Linked DNA regions of Rattus norvegicus. The protein of the gene in region 2 interacts with the protein of the main gene of each other region in a pairwise test. Links are inferred from orthologs where the notes say so. Each region holds a gene or a part of one and is shown on either strand. Other genes may lie near its edges. The genes, in order: Begain, Dtnb, Sntg2, Dmd and Spz1.

Region 1 (2,878 bases), about 100 Mb from region 2:
CTGTCCTAGGATTTGTTGAAAAACACACGATGCATTTTCAGGGGTTGAACAATGATCGTGTGTCAGGTAACCAGGCATGGAAAGAAACAGGGTGACATGAGCAGGAAGCACAGACACAGACCCACTGAGTTTATGTGGTTAAAGAGCCAGACCTGGACTCTTAAATGGCCGCTGGCTTTGCAGAAGTAAGAGGTGAGCTTGACAGAAATTCAGGGGAACAGAAAACTGGATGAGGGCCCGGGGCATCTGTGCCAACCAAGGAGCACATGGCAGAAGTTGGCACCTGGAGTGGACACGGACACACCCGGTCTCTGTTTGGCAGTGGAGCAGACACTGGCTTGCTGGAAGGTAAGCTGTGTAGCCCCCTGCAGGGTGAGTCACAGACAGTGCCATCAGAGGGCAGAGTTGAGGGCTCTGCTGGACAGGGACCAGTGAGGGACACTAGGTCCCTGCTTCCTGTACTGGTTAACGCTGCGGGGAAAGAAACACTGCAAGCCTGGGCTCTTTCCACTGCTGTCCTTTATTAAGGAATGTGAAATACAGTTCTAACGGACGGCATGCATCACAGACGACAGGTGCACAAGGGTGGGAGGAGCCTCATGTCTGAGGTAGAGTCGGGTGGTGTTGGGAGGGGGAGGGGAGGAACGAGCACCGGCTGTTCTGGGGGTGTCCCTGGCCCCTCTTGGGCCCACAGGCCGGGCCACGGAAGAGCTCAGGGTGGATCAGGGCGGAGTGCTGGCTGCACTGTGACACGGGAGCGAGCATAAGACATTTTCTGCGCCCTAAGTGGCTTTGGTTCCCCTCCTCAGTGTTCAGAACTTCAGAATTCCCTTGTTGCTGGCTTCTCCCTACTTGTGGAGACTGGTCCCTCTAGGGCCCCAGCCTCCCCTTCCCTGGGGCAGGCCCCAAGCACCCTCACTGGAAATGAAGGAACTTCGTGTGGGGTACGCCAAGGCTGCCATCCAGAAGTTGGCAGCAAGTGCGTGAACAAACGCTCTTTTTCCCTAAAAAAATAGCTTCACTTATAAAACAGGGGATGCTCACTTCAGGGAAGGGTGCAGAGCGGAAATATTCTGGGTAGGGTTTGCAGCAGAGGCTGGGGTGGACAAGACGATTGGCAGAGGGGGTCTTTTCAGGTTCTACTGGGGTGTTAGTAACAGGGTCAGGAGGAACTGGAACTGGAACAGGAACTGGAACGGGAACTGGAACAGGAACGGGAACTGGAACGGGAACTGGAACTGGAACAGGAACTGGAACAGGAACGGGAACTGGAACTGGAACAGGAACTGGAACAGGAACTGGAACTGGAACAGGAACTGGAACTGGAACTGGAGTTCCTTAGCAGGGGTTGGGACGAGGGGGTTAGCTACTCCCTATATGGGGCAGGGTGGTAGGGAGCCCCTGACTGCAGCCTGCTGATGGCAGTCAGTTGAGCAGGGTTCCGTAGAGCTGGGCCTTAGTGAGACTGTCCTTGCGGCTCAGCCCAGAGCCTCCAGTCCTTGGGAAGGCCTGCTGGGGGCTGAGGCGGGTTGGAGGGTGCATTTCGGGAGAGGCCTCCATGGAGCTAGGCTCCAGGGAATCCCGGGAGCCGTGCTCGGGCTCCGGGCTACTGCCAGGCCCACACAGCTGCACCCCGAGCCTATCCCCATCCCCGTCACTGGTGGCATAGCCAGGGAGAGGATCAGCTGAACGGCTGGGGCTGAGGCTCAGATCACCACCCGCTCGGAGGAAGCAGGGCTCGGCCAGATGACCCTGGGAGAGGTCATCGCCCTCCGAGAAACTATCGGCTTTGTAGCTGGCATAGAGGGGGCTGGCACGGCCCTCGGCATTCTTGCCCGGGCTGCCGCCGCCGCCACCGCCGCCGTAGAAACGTTCTGAGAAGTTGCAGGGCGAGGCGGCGCGGCCTGCAGCGCCGGCCTGGTAAGAGTAGGCGCCCACATCCTCCACGCTCAGGGGCCGCCACTGGCCTCGAATGTCCTCCCGGGCGGCAAGCCGGTTACCGCTCGGCTTGGCCCGCAGGCTCCACAGGTTGGGAGGCATGAGAGCCTGCTGGGAGGCCGGATAGCGGTAGGGCTCGGCCGGGTACGGAGACACAGTCCGAGCGAAGCCTGGGGCTACCTGGGCCTCGAGCGGGGAGCCCAGGGTGGCCGCGGCCTTGGCGTAGCGAGGGCTGCTGCCGTAGGTGGCGGAGGGCGGCTTGCGGCTGAAGAGCTCTTCGCGGCTGTTCAGGTAGATGGCCTGCTGCGAGGCGGTCAGCGTGCTGGCCTGCGCGTGCTCCTTCTCCTCGGACGTGGCGCTGAAGCTGGAGTAGGAGCTGGACGTGGGCAGCGAGGCCGCGTAGCCCTGGAAGGCCTCGCGACGGTAGGCCTCCGGGAAGGCCGCCGCCTCGGCCTCCTCCTCTTCCGCCAGGCTGTCGGTGGAATTCTGCGCACGCAGGAAGCCCACGTCGGTCACCGGCGTGTCCACGCTGGGCCGCCGGTCGTGATCTCGCTCGTCAGGGCAGTAGAGAGCCGTGTCGCTGCAGTAGATGTCTCCCTTGTACGGGGGTCGCGGGCCCGGGTTCTCCACTCCGTCGCGGTAGGCCAGGTCGCGGGCCGAGGCATCCGACATGCGCGAGGACAGGCTGCCAGGGTCGGGCTTCTCCAGCACCTTGGCGATGACGCAGGTGGGCACGCTGTCGGCGTAGGACGGATGGCACAGTGGGGACGGCAGGCTGCAGCCATGCTTCTCCATATGCAGGCTCACACGCTGCTGGAAGTCCGAGGGCAGCTGGAACGGGCGTGAGGAGGAGAGGAGAATGGGGACAGGTCATAGCAAAGAGGCTCACCCCTGGCCCCGAGGCCACGGCCACACCAACATCGCAGACAGAGAAAGACGG
Region 2 (4,217 bases):
AAAGTCTACAGAGCAACCTAGACAGAATGCTATAGTAAAATGCAAAGAGAGCTGGAAATGACTCAGTGGATAACGCACTTGCCACGCAAATATACGAATTGGAGTTCAAATCTCTAGAACCCGCATACAAGCCAGGCAGGTATAGCAGCCACCTACAATGCCAGCGCTCTAGAGACAGACAGGAGTCATCAGAACGAGCTGACTGGCTAGACTAGCCAAATTGGCCAGCTCCAGGTTCAGGAGGAGGCTGAACTTAATAAATAAGTAAGAGAGCAACTGAGAACCTCCAGTGTCAACTCTGGGCTTTCACAGGCATATACAATGTATGGTACATGGATACCATATGCAGACTCCCCCATACCACATACACATGCAAAAAAAGTAAAATGCATAGAAAAAGGCCTGGGAAGAAAACAACAAACTGGTAACCGGAGTAGAAAAAGGAGTAGGTATGTCAAGGGAGTTTTATTTGGAGCAATTTACAAGCAAATATGCATTCTGAACTGCTCAAACTACTGCAACTCCAGGAGCTGCCAGCACAGAGAGACTCCAGTGCAAAAGACACCCTAGAACAGCAGCGTACCTCCAGCACATCTAGAAACCACAGCTCTAATGCTTATGTAATTTTAAGTTAATAAAATAGAGGGAGGGGTTGTCCCCAAGACAGCAGGAGTTAACTTTCTCATGATACAAAAGTATATATTTTGATTGGGATAGGTTACAAAGTACACATGTCTTTTCTTTTTTTGTTTGTTTTCTTGGGGGAGGGACTTTTGTTACTTTGTTTTGCTTTTTTTGTTGTTGTTGAAACAGTGTCTTCCTATGTAACCCTAGCTGGACTTGAAGTGATCAGCTTGCCTCTGCCTCCTAAGGACTTCAATCTAAAGACATATGCCACCATGCCCACCAATATGTACCATTTTTTCAAAATACCCAACTCAATATGCAAAGTCTATCCATTTTATCCTATGTAAACTACACATGAAGAAGGCACAGTAGTGCACACCTGTAATCCCAGGACACATAGATAGGAGAATAGACATAAGTTCAAAGTCAGAATGACAGAGAGAGACCCTATCTTTAACCCAAACAAACAAAAAGTTTGTTTTAACCAGCCATGGTGCTTCACAGGAAGGACTAACAGAAGGATAGCCACAGTTCAAAGTCAACTTACAGCCTGGGCTACTGTATTTCGAGTACCAATATAGCTGGGGTTACTACTCAGCAAGACCCTGCTTCAAAAACCGGGGGTAGAGGGTTTATTTTCAAATAAATGTAAATTAAATATCTAAATAAAATATTAGAAGTGCCCGAAACAAGACACCCAAATTTGCAAAGCCACATAGGCACCCCAAAACAAAACCTAAGAGAGACTTAATGGTTGTACCCTGAAATGCAAATACTAATTAAAATGAACTAAATGAATATACTTCAAGGCTTCTATATATCCAATGACAAATTTGGATTAATATTGCTCTTATTTTTTATATAAGGAGACTAAGGGTCAGATATGTTAACATCTGAAGACATGAAATAAAGGGTAACTGGAAATCCTGCGCACTCTAATATTTTAACTATATTCTGTCTCCCGGGCAAAATTCAGTGAAGCTAAAGACCCTGCCAGCACCACCTTGCCTGCACAACCCCTTCAGAGGCAGTTCCACTTAAGTCTGATAAAAATCCTCAGAGAACACATAAAAGGTCAAGTTTTAATTTGGCAAGCAAAGTAATCCAACAGGCATTGCAAGCCAGGGAAAGGAAGCAGCAGTATGGGGCTGGAGAGTCCAAGCAAGGCAGAGGACAGAACTCCAGCCCTTACAGACCTGAAGAGACTTAAGCATTCTCTCACCTCAGAACCAAGATCCAAGAGGCAGGATAGAAATTATAAAGTGTTCTCTAGGCAAAAGCTCCCTCCAGTCCTCCTCAAACGACAGAGGAGGGGGGAAAAGGCCAATGAGAGAAGGACCGGAACCTGACTTCAAGCAGCCACCCAAAGAACAAGCTTCTGGTGCACAACATACAAGAACCGCGTGGATGAAGAAGTGGCCACAAGCCACCGGAGTCTGCCACCTAAGCCACTGGTTTAGCGTCTAAAACCCTGGGTTACCTGAGAAGGCAAAAAGAGAATCCTAGGACCAAAGGAAGCCAGCGAGCATCCCTAACTCTACAGAGACTGACACTACTTCATATCAAATGTATCAAACCCTGGTCCCTCCATCCACTCCTGCAGTGGGCATCCATTGTAGGGCTTTCGGGATCCAGGCCACATCCTGAGGACTGGGCAGAAAACAGGCGCGGAGCTTAATTCTAGTTGGGAAGGCAAGATTCTCCTTCCAAATTTCTTTCCCCTCTCTTTTAAATGTCAGTAAGACCCTTCAAATCTCTTCCCAATAGCTCCCACCAGCTTTCCTCAAGTATCTTACTTTCTCCACAAGCCAAGCAACTTACGGCCCAGTTTCCCAGGGCTGGGAAAATCCTAAAGAGACCTGAAGTGAACAGAACAAGAAACATAAAATAGAGCACTTTACATTTTGTGTGTATACTTTCACAGCCGGACTGTCAGCACTTCAACAGCAAATAAATGATGGTTGAGAGTGATAAAGTCGTGACCCGGGCGCTGACCGCGGTTCTCTCCTGCTCCGTAGCTAATCAATAAACGCTTGCAGAGAATGCTAGAAAGGTCTCCCTGATTCCCCAAGGCCTGGCACAGGAATTTAACAGTAAGCATTCGTCAGCTGCATCCTCGCTCTTCTCGGGACACTGTGCCCATCAGAGGTGACCTGAGTAGACAGGTTCGTCTACCGGGAGCCTCGGGAGACACTGAGAGGTGATCTGGAATGAATTCCCTCCCCTCTGCCAGGGCCTGCCTACCTCACCTGCCCTCTGCCAGGACCTGCCGCCTTCGCCCCCTTCAGCACCTAACGCTGAGCCTCCTCCCCGCAAGTCCGGCTCAGGCTGCATCAGCAGCGCGCGCAGCCGGGTTCTGCGCTCCGCGGCCCCCCGCGCGCCCGGGTGACCGGAGAGCCCTCTCCGGCCCGGCGTGCGGTCTCCCAAGGGTCGCCGTTCCAGGGCCGCGCGCTCCGCCACCCCGCAGCCCTCCTTTTCGCTCCTCCAGCCCCGGCGGACTCCCCACCTGGCTCGCTTCCCGGCCGAAGCTGAGGGGCCGTCGCGTGGCTCTCCGGCGGCCGCAGCCTCCTCCGACCCGGCCCCCTCGGCAGAGGCAGCTGAAGCAGCGGCAGCGACTGAGGCGGCGGCGCCCACTCAGGCCCCGGAGCCGCCCCCGCGGCGAACGTTCCTGGCGCCGGCTCGCGCCGCTTCCCCGCCCGGCACGCGCAGCGAGCCCGCCCCCGGCGCGAGGGCGCGAGGGCGAGGGCGAGGGCGGGTGCGCGCGGAGGGCGGGCGCGCGGAGGGGCGGGGCTTCCGCCGCCAGAGGGGGCGGGGAGGCGGCCGAGTGCCCTCCCGCGGGTTTGCGCGCCCCCTCCGGGCCTCTGCTGTGCGCTGGCCGCGGAGGCGGAGGTGGAGGCGGAGGTGCGCTTCCACTCCACAGGTAGCTGCCGGGCGGCTGGGTGCTGCGCCGACGTGACTGAACCGTAAGGAATGCGAAGAAATACCCGGTGAATCATTCACCCGCGCCTCGAGCGCCGGGTCCTCCCCCGAGTGACTTTCCACATTGCCTCAGCAGGCTCGTTTGAGCACTAACTCATGCGCCTGGTGCCCGGTGGACACGATCTGGGTCACGGCCCTGGTCCCCAAGAGCGCATAACTTAGGGAGAAGAGCAGCCTTGCGAAGGACCGAGTCCGGTCCTCTGCGCAAAGGCAAGCCACAGCCGGATGCGGTGAGAGGATGAGGAGGGACAGATTACTTTCCGCTTAGTCGTTCAGTAGTTCCTGAAAGTGGGAGTATTTGGACATTAAACAGCTTGGACAAGGGAGCAGGGGCGACAAAGCTTCATTTATTTATGTATCTATATTTATTACCAACTCATCTATCCTTTTTTAAAGCATTTATGTTTTATTTTATGTGTATGAGTGTTTGGGCTGCAATGTTTGCACCCCGTGAGTGCCCCCGGAGGCCAGAAGAGTGTTTTGGATCCCCTGGAACTGTGAAGTGTGGATGGATGCTGGGGAATCAAACGCAGGTCCTCGGATAACATAGCAAGTGCTCTTTGCTGAGCCATCTCTCCAGCCCCTCATATTGCCATTTTTTTATAGAATCC
Region 3 (3,517 bases), about 20 Mb from region 2:
AGACCACTAGCTACCGCCAGTTCCACAGCTAAGAATGTCACCAGAATGCCACATGTGAAACCTACCAGACTTTCCTATTTTGCTTTAAACAACCAACTGGATGCTCACATTGCTGTATTCTAAAAGTAGCTTGACTTATGATTTTCTCTGTTCTGTTACCGTGAAAGCTTCATGAAACTGTTACTAAACTGGAATATGGGATTGGGGGGGGGGGAGACCTCCACATGTGTTTGTGGGCCATGGTTATTGAGATTTGGCTCCAGAATAAACTCTCATTGAGTCAATAACATTATACAACAAAATGATCCTAAGTCACACAGGCCTTTCTCCATCCTGAATGCTCTTTGGGCTCTCTTATAGCCCTCTCTAAATCCTGTTCAGATCACATTTTCTACTGAGCACAACCCACAGGCATCATTTATCTCTGTAAACACAGGTGATCAGAACGGTCCCCCAGTGTGTTCCCAGATAAATAAAGAGCTTTGAGTTCACCCATGTGACAGAGTCTACCAAATTCGGTATGATTCTCCCTAGCATTTTCCTATCTAAATTCCACAAAAGGAAGCAGCCGCTTTGGGGGTTGGTTATCCTACTGGGCTGAAGTCATACACCTACCTGGTCACAGGGAGAACAGCATTTGTTTGCCATTTTCATCTGTAGAAGGAAGACAGCAAGGGGTCAGTGTGCCACGCACGCTAGTGCCTTCATTTCTCAGCTTGTCTAAATGGCAGCTGAAATTAACCAGCCCAGGAAAGTTCCTTGGAGATGAGTTTCCTCTATGCTGTGCTTATCTTCAAATCAGAGCAAATACAAATTTATCGCAGCAATTCTCAAAGCAGGAAAACAATGAAACAAAACGACGGGCACAGGCTCCTTAATGTCATCATTCCCAAATACGAGTCCTCGAAGTGAGGGCAGCTGGGGGATGATAGATGCTTAGACTCTACCATGTTGAAAAAAAAAAAAAGGAAGGTGGCCTCTACTCTGTGTCATATTACAATGACCAATGCCCACAGTGAGTAGTCCATTCCATACATAAGTCTCAGAACCATGTAGACATGTAGATGTGACTTTCAACAATTTTACTGTGAAGGAATGGAAGTTCATAGGGAGATTCACTCTGTGCTGTGAGCCCACATGTCTACCCTGCCATGCTGCCCAAGGGTCACCTGTGATGGTCACCCAATCAGGAGAACTATGCACTCACTAGCATTAATTCTAATGTTAATCCAGTCCTAACTGTCTCCTTTCTGTTTGCTCATTTATCTATTTAGTTATTTAATTAAAAAATTATCCATCCAATATCATAGGGATTCAATGTATGGAATATTGAAAGTGGGACTGTAGGAATGTGTTTATTTTTACACCATTAAAGGATAAGTCTCATGCCTTCAGAGTGGATCTCTCATATGACCGCATCTGTAAGCATCTCAGATTATTCAGCTAACTTCTCTCCAGCACTGGCCAGGACAGGCAGGAGCTGAGGAAGGAGGGGCCAGCAGGCACTAGGCTGTGTGATGCAGGGCATCACAGGTTGCATCAAGCTGCCAAGCGCAGATAAAGGAATGTGGAGCAAACATACAGCATAGCATGGGTATTGGGAGGGAACGAAGATGGGAACTGGGCCAAGTCCTTGGCTGTGGGCCAGTCCTGCCACAGCTACATGGATACAGCTTGCAGTACTTCATGAGAGACTCAGCAAGCAGTTGATGTTCCCTTCCCCAGCTCATCTCCACTTATTCTTTCTTTTACAAATCTTACTGACTTCGAACATTAAACTTATCACCCAAGGCATAGAATGCTTCTTTCTGGACCAGTATATTTGGTTAGGTATGCCCTTTTTATTTTTATTTTTTAAAATAAGTGTGTGTGTGTGTGTGTGTGTGTGTGTGTGTGTAAATGTTTGTGCTCATGTTTATGTGTGCACATACTTGGGAAGGCCAGAGGAAAACCAGGGTGTGTGTATCATATTTTTATCCCAGTTAGTAGTTTATCCAAATGCCACGTTGTATTAAGATAGTTTGAAACAGAGACAGAGATGGGGGGAGGGGAGAAGGAAAGGGAGAGGGAGAGAGAGAAATGCAGAGAGAGAGAGAGAGAGAGAGAGAGAGAGAGAGAGAGAGAGAGATCCCTGTGTGTGTATATGACAAGAGAAAGAATGAGAGGGAAGGGATGGAGAGAAAGACAGAGAGGGATCTAGCCTGGAAGTTTCCAATGTTTGTATCTAAACACATTTTAATAGGTTAAGTTTTAGTTATTTGAGCTGGATTGCTGATCAATTGAAACGAGTGTATGTTCTGTATGCAGACCTAACCTTACAGTGGGTTAATTATCCTTGGAAACTTCTCATCATTACTGCAAATGCAAACAAGTGAGGGAGTAAGCCCTGGGCTTTTTGCTCACATGTTGAAGCGTCAGTTCATTGATGTTGGTTGAGATTGCACGCAACCAATCCGCACAGTCCTGGGCAGTGGAGAACTGAAGGGCTCCTGTGCTGGCTCCGTCCAGGGCCAGCACCTCCAATGCACTGGACCTGCAGCAGGAGGGAGGATACCAGGGAGCAGGTCAGCTGGAGAATGACACCAGCAAAAGGGACAACACCAGGGAGCCAGTCAGCTAGAGCATGACACCTGGTTGGGACTCCAGCAGGGGCCAGGTGCTTTCAGCACGTGCTGTGCTATGCTCAGCTGTGACACCCTTGTGAAAAAGCAGACAGTCTTAATCCTCTAGTCAACAACAGGTATAATGAACTAGCCTTACCAAAGTGAGGATCCACACTGAGCTCCCTCACTAAGAGCTGCTTCAAATTCAATAGGCACAAGGAAAGCAGGTCAGATGGGAAAGAAGGTTTGCTCTGGTTGAAATCTTAGTTATCATTTTATAGGCATCTTAGATGTAGTTAGTTTGCAGCCCACCTTACCACCTGAAACCTAACACGCCATTAAGCACCAACACACTCAGTGCTGATAGGGGATGGGGTGCCCTAGTGCATACAATTAGGATCTATAGTGGAGCTCCAGAGAAGCCCTGGGGTCCTTGCTTCAGTGTGAACAAGGGGAGGTGATTGACATAAGGCTGTCTAACGAGAAAGAAATTAGGGAAACGACACCCTTCATAATAGACCCAAATAATATAAAGTACCTCGGTGTGACTTTAACAAAGCAAGTAAAAGATCTGTACAATAAGAACTTCAAGACACTGAAGAAGGAAATTGAAGAAGACCTCAGAAGATGGAAAGATCTCCCATGCTCATGGATTGGCAGTATTAATATAGTAAAAATGCCCATTTTACCAAAAGCAATCTACAGATTCAATGCAATCCCCATCAAAATACCAATCCAATTCTTCAAAGAGTTAGACAGAACAATTTGCAAATTCATCTGAAATAACAAAAAACCCAGGATAGCTAAAGCTATCCTCAACAATAAAAGGACTTCAGGGGGAATCATTATCCCTGAACTCAAGCAGTATTACAGAGCAATAGTGATAAAAACTGCATGGTATTGGTACAGAGACA
Region 4 (4,257 bases), on a different chromosome or scaffold from region 2:
GACAAAAGCACGTCTTTCTGAGATAGAATGAAAACCAACCAAAAATTATTCATGGACGGACCCTTGGCTCCAGCCGCATATGTAGCAGAGGATGGCATTGTCTGGCATCAAAATAGGAGAAGTCCTTGGTCCTGTGAAGGCTCAATTTCCCCAGTGTAGGGGAATGCCAGGGCAGGGAAGTGGGAATGGGTGTGTGGGAGGGGAGCACCCTCATAGAAATGGGGGGGGGTGGGAGAGGCGGGTTCTTGAGAGGAAACCAGGAAAGGGTATAACATTTGAAATGTAAATACATAAAATATCCAATAAAGAAGTTAAAAAAATAAAGAAGAAAAAACCATTGCTTCTTACTGAAACAAATCCAAATCTGTACTATATACATGTAAATTATTTATTTGCACATCAAAAACTTATCTTCAGTGATGAATGCTAAACTATATTTCTGTGTATTTTTAAAAATTACTTAATTTTGGATATAATGTTCCATAAACATTTTAAAATAAAGGAACAACATCAATGTAACACATTATAATTTCCATATTGATATTATATAAAAAGACAAGAAAAATCCTCTTATTAAATTAGAAATTATATCATGAATTTAAAGAGGATTTTCTTTTTTCAGTTAACATGCCCTTAAGAGATCTTATAATTAAAATTCTAAAATATAACTTTGTTAGACTTCAAGACAAATTGTGCCATTTAAATATCTGAATGAAATGTCTACTTGCAATGGACTACTTGAATATTCTAAATTATATGTGTAATGCTAAATGTAAATCTTTGTCTTAATGCCATAACCTTTTCATTCGAACAGTAATGTTTTGAGATTTCAAAACAATTAAATATGTTCTTCAAAGTCTTAAAATCTTAAGCAAATTGAGATACAAGACTCAAATATCAAAACACCCAGCTAGTTCACTGTTAAAATAGCAAAAGCTTTCGTGCACCATAACCATTAGAACAACTTTTTTTTCCCTTAAACCTACTGCTATTTTGCAGAAGCATTATTTCACTGTTTAGAAATGCTGTCTATAGCACAGCTGAGCATAAGCTTGCCTTTCTCCACTTAAGAACTGCATTTCTAATCAATAGTCTTCAACAGTGCTCTGGGCACTGGTTTTTTTATTTTTGTTTTGAAGGCTTAATTATCTCCAACGAATTATCTCAATAATATTTATAAGTTAATACAAAAGACATCAAAAGATATAATTGAATTGTGTATACCTATGTGTTACAAAAATATGTAAGTGCTTCATGTATTTTGCACTGAAATAAAACAGAGCAGCTTTTCCTTTAGGAAATAATAGTGAAGCTCACAAAAGAAATGTTGGAAGCAACCACAGAAACAGGTGGTATACAGTGAAATGGAGGAGCATCTATATAAAATCAGTGCATGCATAACCTTGATTTCCACAACCTTTTTCTGAGTATGTGCTTGACTTTTCTTTTCTAGAATTTGTGAGTCATGGATCATTAGCCATTTATGAAGATTTCTATCTTCATTCTTAATTATAAGCATGACTACAGTTCACAAGTCAAAAATAGTGAGAAAATGATAATCTTCAACCATATCTCTGGGACACACTGGCTTCATGATGGATTATTTTTATGTTATTTTTGTTGTTGTGTTTGGGTCAATTTTTAAAATCATTAGTCACAGCTGACTCTTTAAGACTAAGTGGAAGACATTTTTAAATAAAGGTCTGATCTAAAAGTTTTACTGAACTGCTAGGTCACAGTCAACATGAATCACCAAATGACTTACTACAAAATGGGATTACAAGCTTTCTAGTTTTTATTTTGTTTTTAGATCAACACACTGCATGGTTATTTTCCAGCATGAATTGTACCATTATTTAAAGAATAATCACAATATGACAAAGAGCAGTATATTCAAAAGATGAAGTATAATTTAAAAAAAAAACTTAGAAATTCTATCTTCATGTACACTGTCAAAGACAACCTATTTTCTTTACTTTCCCCTATGGTGTGCCAGATAAAACCTTTTCAAACTTCAGGGCTCACTTATTTCCATAAAGAATTAGTTCACTGAAATACATGTCAGTTCACAACTGTCTACAAAACCATTACAAAAAAATAGCAACTAAAATAAAAACAGAGATACATAATCTACCTCACAATAATCAAAATGGTCTGTTTCATGCACTCAAAGCAAGCTATGCATATATTATTTAGTGGTTTCTTAAACAAGAACAATGTGTGTCTCTATTGCAAAAGGCAAACAAATTATAGTAACAAACCCCCACAACTCTTCCTAATATCTCCTCAAAATGTTTCAGTGTGGAACACATACACTAGAATATATATATATATATACTCTATATATATATATATTATATATAATACATAAACACATATAGACAGACAGACAGATAGATAATAAAGTACACAGATGACAAAATTTATGCTTTTTCATAAGCTACTGTAATAAGCTTAAATCAATCTGCCTACTCAGTGAGCTTGTCACAAGCTGAAAGTCATGCCACAGTTAAGATATTTTTAGTTACTTTGTACTTACAACAGTCCTCTACTTCTTCCCACCAAAGCATTTGGAAGAGAAAGTATATATCAAGGCAGGAATAAAAATCTTGGTAAAAGTTTCTCCCAGTTTTATTGCTCCAGGAGGCTTAGGTACGATGAGAAGCCAATAAACTTCAGCAGCCTTGGAAAAAAAAATAGCACTTCAAGTTTTCCTATTCGTTTTTTCTATAAAGACTATTGCCTTCAAGAGCTGAGTTCTGTAGGGGGCAAGTGAGTGAGCCCAACACTGAGTGAGTCAACATAGTAACTGATGCCAGGATTCTGTAGAGGCCTCTGGATATTTCAAATTCCAGGACCTGCGCACAAGCAAGTGACCCGCCTTTTCTCTCAAGTTGCTTTGCCATAATAGGACTGCCCATGGACACTACATATAAGGCTGTGCTTCCAGCATGGCAAGCTCTGTGAATTCAAATAATGTTCAACTCTGTCCTGAGTCACATCCAAACTAGAATAGCACAGGGATCTCAGTCCTGCTCTCCAAGTCCCCTAAATGTAAAAGCACATTAGTGCAATGTTGCCACAATATTTTAGTAACTTTTATGTTACTTTCCAAAAGAATAAACAGAAAATACAGATCCAGAATTAACTTTTAACTGTCTTTTGTTTTTGTTTTGTTTTGTTGTTTTCTCTCTTCTCAACACTACCAAAAAATGGCATTTTATTTTACTGGACATTAAAAAATTCCCAGAATAATCCATTCATTTTAAACTATCTGATATCTACCAAAATTAATTTTTACCCTTGGGATCCAATCAAAACTATGTAGCATAATGCCAATATTCTGATTAAAAGAAGCAAGAGTAGAATGGAGCAGCTGAGTTCTGAAGGCAAAATGTGAATAGGTCTTAGGATGGGACAAAGTTTCCGCTAAAATAAAGAGTCCTCTTGTGAGTAGAACAGGGAATTCTTCGCAAAATACCAAGTTTCAGTTGTAAGTTATGTTAAGACTACTTTACAAGAAATGTATTCTTCCTCAATTTCTGCTGTAATAATTATTAAAACCATTCCATGAAATATTGAGATAATCAGTTAATTGTCACCTCTACACACCAAAAACAAACAAACAAACGAACGAACCTGTAATAGTAATGGACAGAGTTCTGATAGGTCATCTAGGACATTTGTAAATGATTCTTTGTCCACCAAAGCATTTGTATTCATCTTCATTATTTATGTATCAAGTAAGATCAATATTTTAAAACACTTTGATAACAGTGTGAGAAAGGTATTTGCTTTACCATTATAACCATCTTACTTGAGTTGTTTTAGAGTCTTATAATAATTATAAGTTTGCAAATTAAATAGGGTAATGGGAGAGAGAGACTAGAGTACAATGTGTTTAGTAGGCATATGTGCCATGCTTTTCCTCACCCTATATTATCTCATGCTTTCACCTGTCTTCCTTCGCTTAGAAACTCTCCCTCTCTTTTCGTGGTTCCCTTTCTAATTTTATAACCCCTGTCCTACCCCAACACCACACACACACACACACACACACACACACACACACACACACACACACACACACATTTAGATTTCTTACAGGCAAGGGAACAAACTATATTTGTTCTTTTGAGATGGGTCTGGCTCATTTTGCTTAACAACATGATTTCCATTTCTGGCCAATTTTCTTTAAATGTCATGATTGCACTTTTCTTCATAATATGTTAAAATTTCACTGTGTACGTATTCTGC
Region 5 (3,252 bases), on a different chromosome or scaffold from region 2:
AAAAGACTCCCAATTGGAGCCTGGGGATATAGTTCGGAGGCAGAACACTCACGTACCATATAGAAGCCTTGGGTTTCTTGCCCGGTATGCTCACACGTGCATGTGCGTGTACACGGGCACACACACACACACACACACACACACACACACACACACACACACACACAGACAGAGACAGAGAGAGAGTTTATAACTGTGCTGTTGACTCATTCCAATAGCTTCGTAACATTCAGCAGACTATGAATGAAAGTGTTTCTGACATTAGTATCCTAAAATCACTAAAGATGGAGCACTTTGAGACTTCTGCTTGGTATCCTGTCACCACCATAGCAGCTCTTACAAAAAAAAAAAAAAAGGCATTTAATCAGGGCTGGCTTACAGTTTCAGTGGTTTCCATTGTCATCACAGCGGGAAGCATGGTGACAGGCAGGCAGAGAGGGTGCAGGAGGAGGAGCTGAGAGTTCTACATCTAGATCTGTGGGCAGCAGGAAGAGAAGTAGACTCGGGGCTTGCAATAGATTTTTCTGACCCCTCAAAGCCTACCCCCTAGGTAATACACTTCCTTCAACAAGGCCATACTTCCTAATCCTTACAGTGTTGCTCCCTGGTGACCAAGTTTTCAAATCTGAGTCTGTGGAGGCCATTCTCATTAAAACCTCCCCGCATTCTCTCCCACCCCAGGAGCAACACTTTCCCCTTCTGTGAAAGAGTCCTCACTCAGCCTGATGAGCTTTCTCTCAACTATACACACACACACACACACACACACACACACACACACACGTGTGTATATAGGTATATATAGATATAGATGTATATGTATATATATTTAGGTGGAACACTGTGGTTGCAGTTGGCTCTGTATGGTATGGTGAGGTTGGAGGTAGGAGGGTGAGGAGGGAAATTACTGTAATGCCGTTAGAATGAAGAGCTGAGAAAAGAGGGGCAGGCTAGTGGAGAGGTCTCATGAGGGAGGAGTAAGGTTGGTTGTGGTGTCTGAGTCGTGGGACAGGAGTTTAAGGGACTTCCATTGTGATGTAAAGGAAACAGAATGTGTTGCCCCAGAGGGGCAATGACAGAATAAAGACCCAGTTGCTGGGGCCTTGGAAAAAATACCAGAAGCCTAGCAGAAGGGAGATGGAGCTTCAGCTCCCGGTCTCCCTTCCCAACCCCTCCCCCTGGGCTGTTTGAGATGTAACCTTCTACCTGAACACCATCTCCCTGGTCTCAGTCCTTAACTCTGGTCCATAATTCCTGCTTGGTACCATCTCCACCGACTCACAGGAGACTGCCATCTGTCCTTCCTGGAATCTCTAAGGTTTCTGCTTTCCTCAGGTCCCAATGGCAGACAGTGACAGCTCATCTGAGATGCCTGCCCATTCTCCATCTCCTAGCCCTATTCCTTGTGCTAAGCAAAAACCACCGAATACTGGGATCACCATTTCCCTCCTTGAAATCGGATCACTCCCCACTTTCTGCTGCAGCTCCTTCTCAGAACCAAATAATAATATGTGTCCAATAAGAAAACAAGGGAAGGTACAGAAATTTAGCAATCTCTTAAAAGACGTTAAAGATGTTCTTAAAAACATAGCAGGCTTTGAAGAGAAGACTACAGATGGGGATCCTTTTGATGATACCTATATTCCTGAAGACCTGTCAGAACTTAACATCAGAGGTTTTGATAAGAGAAATAAACTTCGATTTAAAGATGATCTATTCATTCATTTCGACCCAGAGAGAGAAAACACAATGAGGCAGGAGATGTTATTCAAAAGCCATAGTGCTAAGAACATGGTACAAAAGTTTGCAAGGGACCTGTGCAATTCAGAAGAAAAGAGAGGCTGTGACGGCGTGCAGCTGAACGCGAAAAGACGTCGGACTGGGTCAGTTCACATTCGTGGAGAGTACAGAAAACTCAGGAACAATATGGAGCAGTTACTGCAGGAAGCAGACCACTGGAGTAAACAGCACAATGAACTCAGCGAACTCATGAGATCATATCAGGAATGCCATAAAGAAATCAAAGACATTGTTGACTGCAGTCGAGTCTGTTCGCAAACCCAAAACAACAACGAGGTACCCTCCAAGCAGAAACTGGAGGAGCAGGTGAAGAAACTGAGCCAAGACACCCACTCGCTGCATTTGATCGCAGCCCTGCTGGAGAACGAATGTCAGATCTTACAACAGAGGGTGGATATCCTCAGGGAATTACATCTCCACGAAGCAGGACCCGGGCACGAGAAGCCTTTGCAAACGTCTGGTGAGCAGGACAAGAAGTGTGGTGAGCAGGACAAGAAATGTGGCGAGCAGGACAAGAAATGTGGCGAGCAGGACAAGAAATGTCCGAAGTTAGCGGAAGCAGAAAAGATGGACGGTTCCAAGCATACTATGAAGACAACGGAAGGCACGATTACTAGGAAACCAAAGATCTTCAGGTGCCCTAATGATTGCCTTACTAAGAAGGCTCGAAATAACCGCTTCAACGCCCGCGTTGCAAAGAAATCTCTTGTGGGGAAAAGGAGAACCATTAGCAGCTTTAGGTAGAAGCCGCCACAAGCAGATCCAACTTGAGCCAAAACTGTTATCCACCCAGGGTAGATCTTCTGATTCCACCAAGGAGGAGGCATAGGATAAGAGAAACCCATATTATCTCAGTAGTTAGAGAAGTTTGGGCCTTAATAACTATTGTATGTATTGTTAACCAAGTGAAAATTTGGGTAAAAACAAGAATAAAAGGAAAGCACTTTATTGGTTTGATTGATTGTTTTCTTCTAATTTCTTTAACCACAACTTACAATGATCTAACTGTGATAGTTTAAAGCCTGTTTTCCTATTAGTATTTAGTTTCCCTATTCTGTTTGTGTGGAATATGTTGGAGTTAAGGGAGAAAAATAACTGAGGACAGGACAGGAAAACTACAGAGCTAAAGCATCCTAGAACGCTTCACCCCTCCTAACTCTAGCTCTGGCTCTACTCTCCCCGGTGTCCCTCTTCTGGTCCTCAGTTCATGCATGAGGGTACACTGGGGAGCCGAAGCCTCTGGGCGAAGGCCATCGTAACTTGATCAGAAGCTTAGAGGTGTTTCTAGACTCTTCCTTTTTGGTGTAAAAAAAAAAAAAGTAGAGGAAGTGAGCTTTCTGCTGTGGGTGGGGTGGAAACGAACCCTTTAAGGGAGCTGGACTTAAGTGTCAAAACAGACAGCGCAGGCACATTTTCTTGCTTCTCACTGAGCAAAAGCCACGTGGCATCATG

What was found.
Region 1: the proteins of Dtnb (region 2) and Begain interact in binary tests that used the Homo sapiens proteins (3 or more experiments, as listed by UniProt). The two-hybrid records come from large-scale screens. The link is inferred for Rattus norvegicus from reciprocal best matches to the Homo sapiens genes DTNB and BEGAIN.
Region 3: the proteins of Dtnb (region 2) and Sntg2 interact in binary tests that used the Homo sapiens proteins (3 or more experiments, as listed by UniProt). The link is inferred for Rattus norvegicus from reciprocal best matches to the Homo sapiens genes DTNB and SNTG2.
Region 4: the proteins of Dtnb (region 2) and Dmd interact in binary tests that used the Homo sapiens proteins (3 or more experiments, as listed by UniProt). The link is inferred for Rattus norvegicus from reciprocal best matches to the Homo sapiens genes DTNB and DMD.
Region 5: the proteins of Dtnb (region 2) and Spz1 interact in binary tests that used the Homo sapiens proteins (3 or more experiments, as listed by UniProt). The two-hybrid records come from large-scale screens. The link is inferred for Rattus norvegicus from reciprocal best matches to the Homo sapiens genes DTNB and SPZ1.

What each region holds. Positions count from the first base shown.
Region 1 is NC_086024.1:133,707,509-133,710,386, forward strand, and holds the end of Begain (brain-enriched guanylate kinase-associated protein), read right to left. Parts: intron 2,770-2,878; coding exon 1,426-2,769; 3' UTR 502-1,425; downstream 1-501. UniProt on the Homo sapiens protein: May sustain the structure of the postsynaptic density (PSD).
Region 2 is NC_086024.1:32,285,078-32,289,294, reverse strand, and holds the start of Dtnb (dystrobrevin beta), read right to left. Parts: upstream 2,814-4,217; 5' UTR 2,544-2,813; exon of another isoform or gene 2,529-2,543; intron 1-2,528.
Region 3 is NC_086024.1:52,587,969-52,591,485, forward strand, and holds part of Sntg2 (gamma-2-syntrophin), read right to left. Parts: intron 2,534-3,517; coding exon 2,404-2,533; intron 655-2,403; coding exon 616-654; intron 1-615. UniProt on the Homo sapiens protein: Adapter protein that binds to and probably organizes the subcellular localization of a variety of proteins. May link various receptors to the actin cytoskeleton and the dystrophin glycoprotein complex.
Region 4 is NC_086039.1:51,204,643-51,208,899, reverse strand, and holds the start of Dmd (dystrophin), read right to left. Parts: upstream 2,815-4,257; 5' UTR 2,571-2,814; coding exon 2,540-2,570; intron 1-2,539. UniProt on the Homo sapiens protein: Anchors the extracellular matrix to the cytoskeleton via F-actin. Ligand for dystroglycan.
Region 5 is NC_086020.1:25,531,293-25,534,544, reverse strand, and holds Spz1 (spermatogenic leucine zipper protein 1), read left to right. Parts: upstream 1-1,151; 5' UTR 1,152-1,341; coding exon 1,342-2,544; 3' UTR 2,545-2,748; downstream 2,749-3,252. UniProt on the Homo sapiens protein: Transcription factor that binds to the DNA sequence 5'-CANNTG-3'(E box) and the G-box motif. May play an important role in the regulation of cell proliferation and differentiation during spermatogenesis.